Alligator mississippiensis: one gene and its partner. The protein of the gene in region 2 purifies or fractionates together with the protein of the main gene of each other region. This does not show direct contact. Links are inferred from orthologs where the notes say so. Each region holds a gene or a part of one and is shown on either strand. Other genes may lie near its edges.

Region 1 (3,740 bases), on a different chromosome or scaffold from region 2:
TTCATAGAAAGGAACTGGTGTCTGTGGCCCCCAGCATGACAATGTGTTCCCTGAATCCAGGCATACAGATGGCATTCACCTCAACAGACAACCCAATCATCTGCAGAATTTACTAAAGCTCACCTCACCTTAAACCACTAAGTAACTTGATGGTAATAAATGTACCATTAAATCCAGTAAGTCAACAATTTAAGTGACAAGCCTAATTTCTGCAAACCTTGACATTAAAGCTGTCACAGCAAATCTATTGACAAACTGCTAAAACAACAAGAACCCTTCAGTGTCACGCAGGCATGTACATGAGCTACATAATGCTATTACAAAGGTTTTAAAGAAAAAAAAATGGATCAGGTTTACCACCCTCCAAATGGTACAAGGTAGCCTGGTATAATGTCAAGTAAACTGGCATGTAAAAAAGTGAAAAAGCTTAAGATGTCATGCTGCATTTGCCATGCCACAAAAATGCGAAGATAACATTTAAGAAGCTCAAGTGTTGCACAGTATCTTTCCTGATGAATTCCTGCAGCATAAACCCACACACAACTGCTCAGCAACACCTCCCTTCTCTCTGCTCCAAATACATTATAATTAATTTTTTTAAAACTATGACATGAAAATTGTTGCACAAATCCAACACTTCAGAGTTAAGAGTAAAATTCCCTTCTGATTGCACAGCAATTTCGGGGGGGGGGGGGGGGGGGGGGGGGCAGGCACAGGCCATAAGAGCCTGTGCTTACAAACATTAACCTAAGCGGGTCCTAATCCTGTTCTTATGCACTTTACATCAGCAGCACTGCAACAGTCCAACTACATTTTGAAAACGCAGTACCTGAAACACAAGCTTTGTTTTTTTTCCTCTATTGGCTGAGCCAACTGCGCCGGCGCTTGCCAATCAAAGAGCGGCTATTTGCTTGTCCACTTGTCATCCAAGTGGACAAGCAAAACGCTGCCCGGCTGGCTTGGCAGTGGGATTTGCAATGAGGAAATGAAATACACCAAATATTTTTCCCCTATAGCAAAAGAACCCAAAAAAAAAACAAAAAAAAGCTCCCCCCCAACCCTGCATTTGCCAAGTCACAGACTTTGTGACTTTGACACCCGGCAAAAAACCATTTAAAAATAAGAAGAACCAGGGGCCCCAAGTGACAGCAGCCTTAGAAATCGCTTTTAAACCATGCCCAGTAGCCCCGGGCATCCTCTCCCCCAAACCCACTTCACGAGCTGCTGCAGGCGGCGGCGGGAAGAGGCAGAAAAAACAAGTTCCGCTGCCAAAACCCTCCAGGCTCTTCGGCACCTCGTGCGAGCCCACCTGCCCGGCCCTGCGGGGAAGCGGGGTCCTGGGACAAGCCCGATGGGGTTTGAACCCGGAGGCTTTTTGACCGTGACTGTAAACAACTGGGCGGGCTCCGGCCCCGGCGGGCGGGAAGGAGCGGGCCCGGAGCGGGGGGGACCAAGACCCTACCCAGCCAGCCCGCCCGCCCGCGCATCCCCGCGGCAGCCAGACACACGGACAAGCGCGCCCGCCCGTCCTCCCATCACCCAGGGCTGCTCCGCACCCGCAGGGATCGCGGCCCCGCCCGGCTCGGCCGCACTCACCGCTGCCCGCATCCCTCCCGCGCCCGCTCCCGCCGCTCTTAGCACCGAGGCGGCAGCGGCGCTGCTCTCCGGGGGGGAGGGGGGAGGAGCCGCAGCGCCGGGGAGAGGGGGGCGGGACTTGCGGCAGCCCCCGCCCCACCCGCCTCATTCACAAAAACCCCGGCCACGCTAAGCCGCGAGGGGGCGGACCACGCCGCTCCGCGCCGACTGGGCAAGCCAGGCGTCTGTCTCGCCAAGGCCCACCCCCGGCCCCGCTCCTCCAGCCCTGACTGGCCAGCCACGGCCGCCGCGCCCTGTTTCCAGTCGCGGGCAATCAGAGTCCAGCTCGAAGCTTCGAGCGGCTTAAATGCACCCGCCACTGCAACACGCATGGCTCGGATTGGATGCGCTGTCCGTCCATCACTCTCTCCTTTCCCCCTCCGCGGCCCCGCCCCGCCCCGCCCCGCCCCCCCTCCGGACCCTCGGCGTTTCACGGTCGGAGCAGAGAGAAAAAAACAGCCGGGTGGGACCGATCCCTTTAAGGGCCCGGCGGCCGGGATCGGCCTTCCTACAAGTCAAAGCCGGAGGACAGAAACACCCGAAGTCTTAAAGGGGCCGCGCAGCGGCTGCCTGCGGGCAAAGGCGGGCGCAAGGCGCGGCGGGCAGGGCGCGAGCGGCAGGCACTGACCTGGACGGCGGGCACGGGCCCCGGGAGCTGGAGCGGGTCACGGGGAGGGCAGTGGCGGGGGCTGGCGCTGACACAGCGGCGCGCGCGCCACCAACGGACTCAGCCCATGACGGGATCCGCCATCTTGGAATTTTTAGCTGGAAAGTCACGTGCTCCGACCATTTTTTCCCTCAGCCAATCGCGGCGCGCGGGCTATTTATAGCAGCAGCTCCCGCCCCATCTCCCTCGGGGAGTGCGGGCGGCGGGGGAGGGGCTGGCGCTGAGCCCAGGTCCCCGCCCCACCATCTCGACTAGGCCCCCAACCCGCCCCGGCGGCAGGGTCCCTCAGCGCTTCCCTGGCCTTCGCCCCTGGGTGCTGCTTGAGCTGAGCCCCCGCAGGGCTTCCCTGGTGCATTGGGGCTGTGGCCCATGGTGCGCCCCTTGGGCATGTCCAGGATTTTGCGAAGGGCACAGGTGGTGAAAGGCGCTGTCGAGTGTAACGTGGCGCACAGTCTCTCGAATGATAGAAAATGAGAACCAGAAGGGACCACGGGAGGTCACATCTGGCCTGTCTCCTGCTCAGAGCAGAGCCAGCCCCAGCTAGATTGTCCTGGCCACAGCATTGTGTAGCCAGGGCTTCAAAACCTCCAAGGATGGAGAGCCCGCCGCCTCTCGGGGGTGTCTGTTCCAGTGCTGTACTGCCATCTTCATCAGAGGTCTTCCTTTACCCACAAATAAAAAGAAACTAGATGCTCTGCTCGTAGGCCAGGGGCCTGGGCCAGTGTTTCCCGTTTCAGGTGGAAGCAGAAACCAACAGGACTTCGTAGGAGTCGGTTACAAACCACCCGCAGGGCTGGGAAAGAGCAGCCTAGTTGCCAGAGGCAGAGACTGGGGCGGCAGAGTGGCTGAAGAAAGGCCAGCTTGACTGGGGGAACATTAAGACCATTAATGAAGAGAGAGGGTTGTTAACACCTAGGAACAGGTTTAGACGGGATGAGGTAAATTGTAATAAGCTGTGAATTTGCTTGACAACCTAGCTGCTGCCTGAGGTGCCAATGCTGCTGCCAGACAGTTGGCTTTAAACTCTGGGTGGAGCAGGAACCAACATGCAGCATGACAGCACCGCTGTACCCCTCCCAGACACACCCCTAGCCTGCCCTCCCTCACCATGTGTGTGTGGCAGGTTTGACAACCTTTTATCAACTTCCAGGGATGGCGCAGCCCAGGCTGCAAAACCTTATTGCAAAGCTAAGGAGTCCCACATGCCTCCATTCATGAGAGTGCTGTTTCTAACCAGCACATGCTCAATGATGCCGTTGACTGTGAGGTTTGGCACCTTTCAGTTTCCAGCTTTTCTCCACCACTGTGAGGCCTTGGAGCTCGCTTTACTTGAGAGCTGGGACTCATCCCAATGCCTGAATCCAGGAGCTGAGGCTTGAACCAAAGAAAGCATGAAGTATGACAGGTCTCAAATTTGCAAGAGGTGATCTCCCTATGG
Region 2 (3,740 bases):
CTGCGGCTCCCAGCCCGCTGCACAGCGCGGGGAGCGCTCCCGCCTTCCCCGCTCGCGCTCCCGGACGCCGCCTGTTGCTGAAGTTTCCAGCGCCAAGGACTTCGCTGCACTCCTCGCCCACCCCCGCCGGTGCAACTACGGCGGCGGCAGGTCGCTTCTCGCCCGAGCAGCTGCACAGGACGGGAGCGCCCCGCCTCCCCTCGGCACCCAGCGCCCAGGGCGAGGCGTGGCGCCGCGCGCCCGCTCCCCGCAGTCGGTCTGGGGAAGCCGCGGTCCCGCCTCAGCCGCTTCTCCCCGGGCCAAAAAAGGGGGGGGGGGGAAAAGACGGGGGCGATTTACTGCTCGGCCCCGCCCCGCCCCGCCCCGCCCCGCCCCGCCTCTTCGGGCTCAGCTGGCGGGCAGGCGCCAAGCGGGCCGCGCCGGGGAAGGGGAAGCCCCGGATCCACGTGCTGGTCCCGAGCCCAGCAGCCGGAGCCGCGCTGAGGAATCGCCGCCACGTGACGGAGGCGGGCCAGAGGCAGGGCAGTGGGGACGCGCAGGAGGGGCCGGTGCGTGACCGCGGCGCGGGCCTGGCGGGATGCCGTGAAAAGGCGGAGTTTAGTGCCCGGGGCTCCCTGGGGTGCCCCCCGCGGAGGACGGCCGGGCCGGGCCGGGCCCGGAACAACAGCTGCTCGGGTCTCTGCGCCTAGCCCGCGCCACTGCCGCCGGCCCCCGACGGGCGCGAACGCACAGCCCCGGAGCAGGGCAGGGCGCGGGGGAGCTGCCGGGCGCAGCCTTTTGTCCCTGAACCCGCCCCTCCCTTCCCGGGCAGCTTCACTTCCGGGATAGCGGCGCCCACGTGGGACGGATCCATTACACGCGCGGGGGGGAAGACACCAGCTTTACCCCAACCCCTTTCGCAGGGAGGCGGGCCGACGCTTCCGCTCCAGCCAATCAGCGCCAACGATAGGCCCCGTCTCTCCTCCCCCTTCCGGACGGAGCCTTGCCACATTCGGCCGGGAAGCGCAAGCCGAGAGGCGGCCGGGCCTTGTGATGGGCCGGGCCAGGCCACGCTGGGAGTCCACCCAATAGTGGGGGGGCGGGGCGAAACCCTCCGGCCAGTAGGAGCGGGGCGAATCCCGCCCAAGCCGGCGGGGCAGGGGTGCCCGTGCAGCTTGTCCGCGGCGGCGGGAGCCCGCGCGGGGCTCGGGGGCTGCGGCCGCTGCACGCGGGGGGCGGGATCTGTCGCTTGCCCCGCCCCGGCTGCGCTCGTGCCCTGCACAGCATAGCCTGGCCCGCCCCGCCCGCAGTCCGGCGGGGAAGGCACCCGCTACGGCGGCGAGCTCGGCTCGCACGGCTCCGTGCCCGCGGGCAGGCGCCACACGCAGCCCAGCCCCGGCCTCCGCCTCCCTGCGAGCGCGGGCAGGGGCGCGGGATTGTGGGAGAAGGGGGGGGGGAGCTCCGCTCGGGGGCGGGCATCTCCCTCCCACCAGCACGGAGGAGGCGGGGTGGGAGAGGCAGCTCCATGTTTGCGAGCGGATCAGCTGGGAGAGCGCCGCGCGGCTGCTGCCCGGCCCGGGGGCGCCTGCAACTGGGGCGCGCGGCGGTCGGGCCCGGGGATTCCCCCCCGGTGTGGGGGCAGCTGCAGCCCGCGCCTCCCCGCCCGGCCGCAGACCCACTCGCGCCCAACAAGTTTCCCGGGGGGCCCCGCGCGGCCCGGGCTCCGCTGCCGCCCCGCGTGTGCGGCCGCGCTCAGACCCCCGCCCCCGGCAGCGCCCGCGAAGCCCCGCGCACAAACCAGCCAAACAAGCGCCTGGACCCGCGGCCCCGAAGCGCGACGCCGCTTTGTTTATTCCGAGCCAAAAAGCAAGGGGGAACGCCCCGCGCACGCACCGCCCGGCGGCCCCGACCCCTCGGGACAGCCCCCGCCTCCGGGCGCCCCCGGCCCCACGCGCGGGAGGGGAAAGCAAAGCCCTTTTCCTGCTTTTAATCTCTCCCTTCCCGTCCTTAGCTGAGCCGAGCGCGCGGTCCCCCTCGGGCCCGGGCCCCGGACGGACGGCGCTGCCCGCGGCCCCCCCTGCCCCGGCCCGCCCCCTCCCCCGAAAACGCCCGATATTTTCCAGCCTCAATGGGAAGCAGCTGTTACATACCCTCAGCGCCGCGGCCGGGAGTCCTGAATGGGCGGCACCGCCCCCGCGCCGGGATTGGCCTCCGCCGCCAGCCCGTCAGCGCAGCACCGCCCGCCGGGGCGGGCCGACTGCGGCCGGGGCCGGGCTCCCCCCGCGCCCGCCGCCCGCAGCCCCGGCCCTGGTGCAGGCGGAGCTCGGTGCCGAGCGGCCATTTGCGAGCGCGGAGCCGCGGCCGCTCCGGCTGCCTCTCCCCAGGCTGGGGAGCCGGGCGCCGCCTGCTCGGAGGTGCCGGCTCCGGGGCGCTCGAGGAGCACGCCCCATTAAACTTTCCAACACGCCGGGTAGGTAGGAGTGTTTCTCCCCCATCTCCCGCCAGGGAAACTTGAGGCACGGGGCTTCCAGGGAGCGGCCTGAGAGCTGGGGCAGAGAGGAGCTAGAGCCGGGGTGTCCTGGCTCCTGGGGCTGCGCTCGTGGGTGGGTGAGGAGAGCAGGGCTGTGGCTTTGGCGCCAGCAGATGTTGGGGATCTGAGGTGGAGTGTAAATGCTCCGGCAGTATTGGGGACCCTTCGGGCTTGAATGCAGAGTCGGCCGCCTGCTGTGCATTTCCAGTGGAGAGGGAAGGAAATAAAGCTAGACTTATTTCACGTGCTCTGGATATTAAAGGATGGTGGGATGCAGGTAGATGATATCTTCAGCCTTCCTTATCCACACCACGGGTGCAGTCAAAGCCATGTGCTGGCTTACTGGCCAAGGGCTGTCCTGCAGACCTTAAAGTCCATTTGGGGGGTTTCAGGTGGCTCCCTGCAATGCACCTTTTGCAGGGGCAAGCAACTTCTTCCACCCATGGGCCAGAACAACCCACTCTGGGTCAAAGGCAGCTGAGCCGACACTAGGACCTGTCTCCCACCACTCCTTGTCCCCGCTATGCCATGGGCCTGCAGTCCAAGCCTCCTGCTGCCAAAGGTCTCTGAAGTGTCATGTCTGTGGGCTGGATCCAGCTCACAGGCCATAGGTTGCTGACCCCTGGCCTACCATAAAGGAAAGGCACCTTGATTTTCTACACCAATGTTAGCAACAGTGTATCTGTCCACCTACTTCAGGCCCAGGATAAGGAAATCCACAAAGCCTGGCAGTGCAGGGTCACAACTAATATGCCGTTGGTTACACTAGTATGTTCTAATAGTCTAGTCCATGATACTGTTACAGTAGGGGTGGATCTGTAGCTGGTTTAGGGCATGATCCTGTAAGAAGAGGCTGAGTACCTTTGTCAGCCAGTGAACTTGCTGCCTCCAGTGGTGGCTCAGCATTTCTTAGGTACAAGCCCCCAACTGACATGCCTCTGTCCCTAGTACACCAGTTTACGGTGTAAATTTGACCATTTGCTCACTATCTCTGTGGCCAGTCCTTTATTCCCTTCACTTTTCCCTGCTTCTGCTGCTCAGTACAAAGTGTTTTGAATATTACTCAGTTTAAAAATCAAGGTTACAAGATGGAGTATTTCAGCACAGCGCACAGCTCTGAACTCAGGAGCCACAAACCCCGGGTCTTCTTAAACCCAGGGTCTGAAACAAGCAACACAGCAGTAATATCCGTGCTGCAGTTTCCCTGCCTATCAGGTTGAACTCTGTTTCA

Evidence for each region. Proteins that work in one complex are often made in the same cells at the same time.
Region 1: the proteins of SIN3A (region 2) and HDAC4 purify together in Homo sapiens (affinity purification with western blotting; 3 studies listed by BioGRID and IntAct, with this or other methods). This does not show direct contact. The link is inferred for Alligator mississippiensis from reciprocal best matches to the Homo sapiens genes SIN3A and HDAC4.

What each region holds. Positions count from the first base shown.
Region 1 is NC_081827.1:182,302,935-182,306,674, reverse strand, and holds the start of HDAC4 (histone deacetylase 4), read right to left. Parts: upstream 2,437-3,740; 5' UTR 2,264-2,436; intron 1,676-2,263; exon of another isoform or gene 1,597-1,675; intron 1-1,596. UniProt on the Homo sapiens protein: Responsible for the deacetylation of lysine residues on the N-terminal part of the core histones (H2A, H2B, H3 and H4).
Region 2 is NC_081834.1:27,956,964-27,960,703, forward strand, and holds the start of SIN3A (paired amphipathic helix protein Sin3a), read right to left. Parts: upstream 2,149-3,740; 5' UTR 2,130-2,148; intron 549-2,129; coding exon of another isoform or gene 1-548. Other genes in the region: basic proline-rich protein-like, read left to right, coding at 1-548. UniProt on the Homo sapiens protein: Acts as a transcriptional repressor. Corepressor for REST. Interacts with MXI1 to repress MYC responsive genes and antagonize MYC oncogenic activities. Also interacts with MXD1-MAX heterodimers to repress transcription by tethering SIN3A to DNA.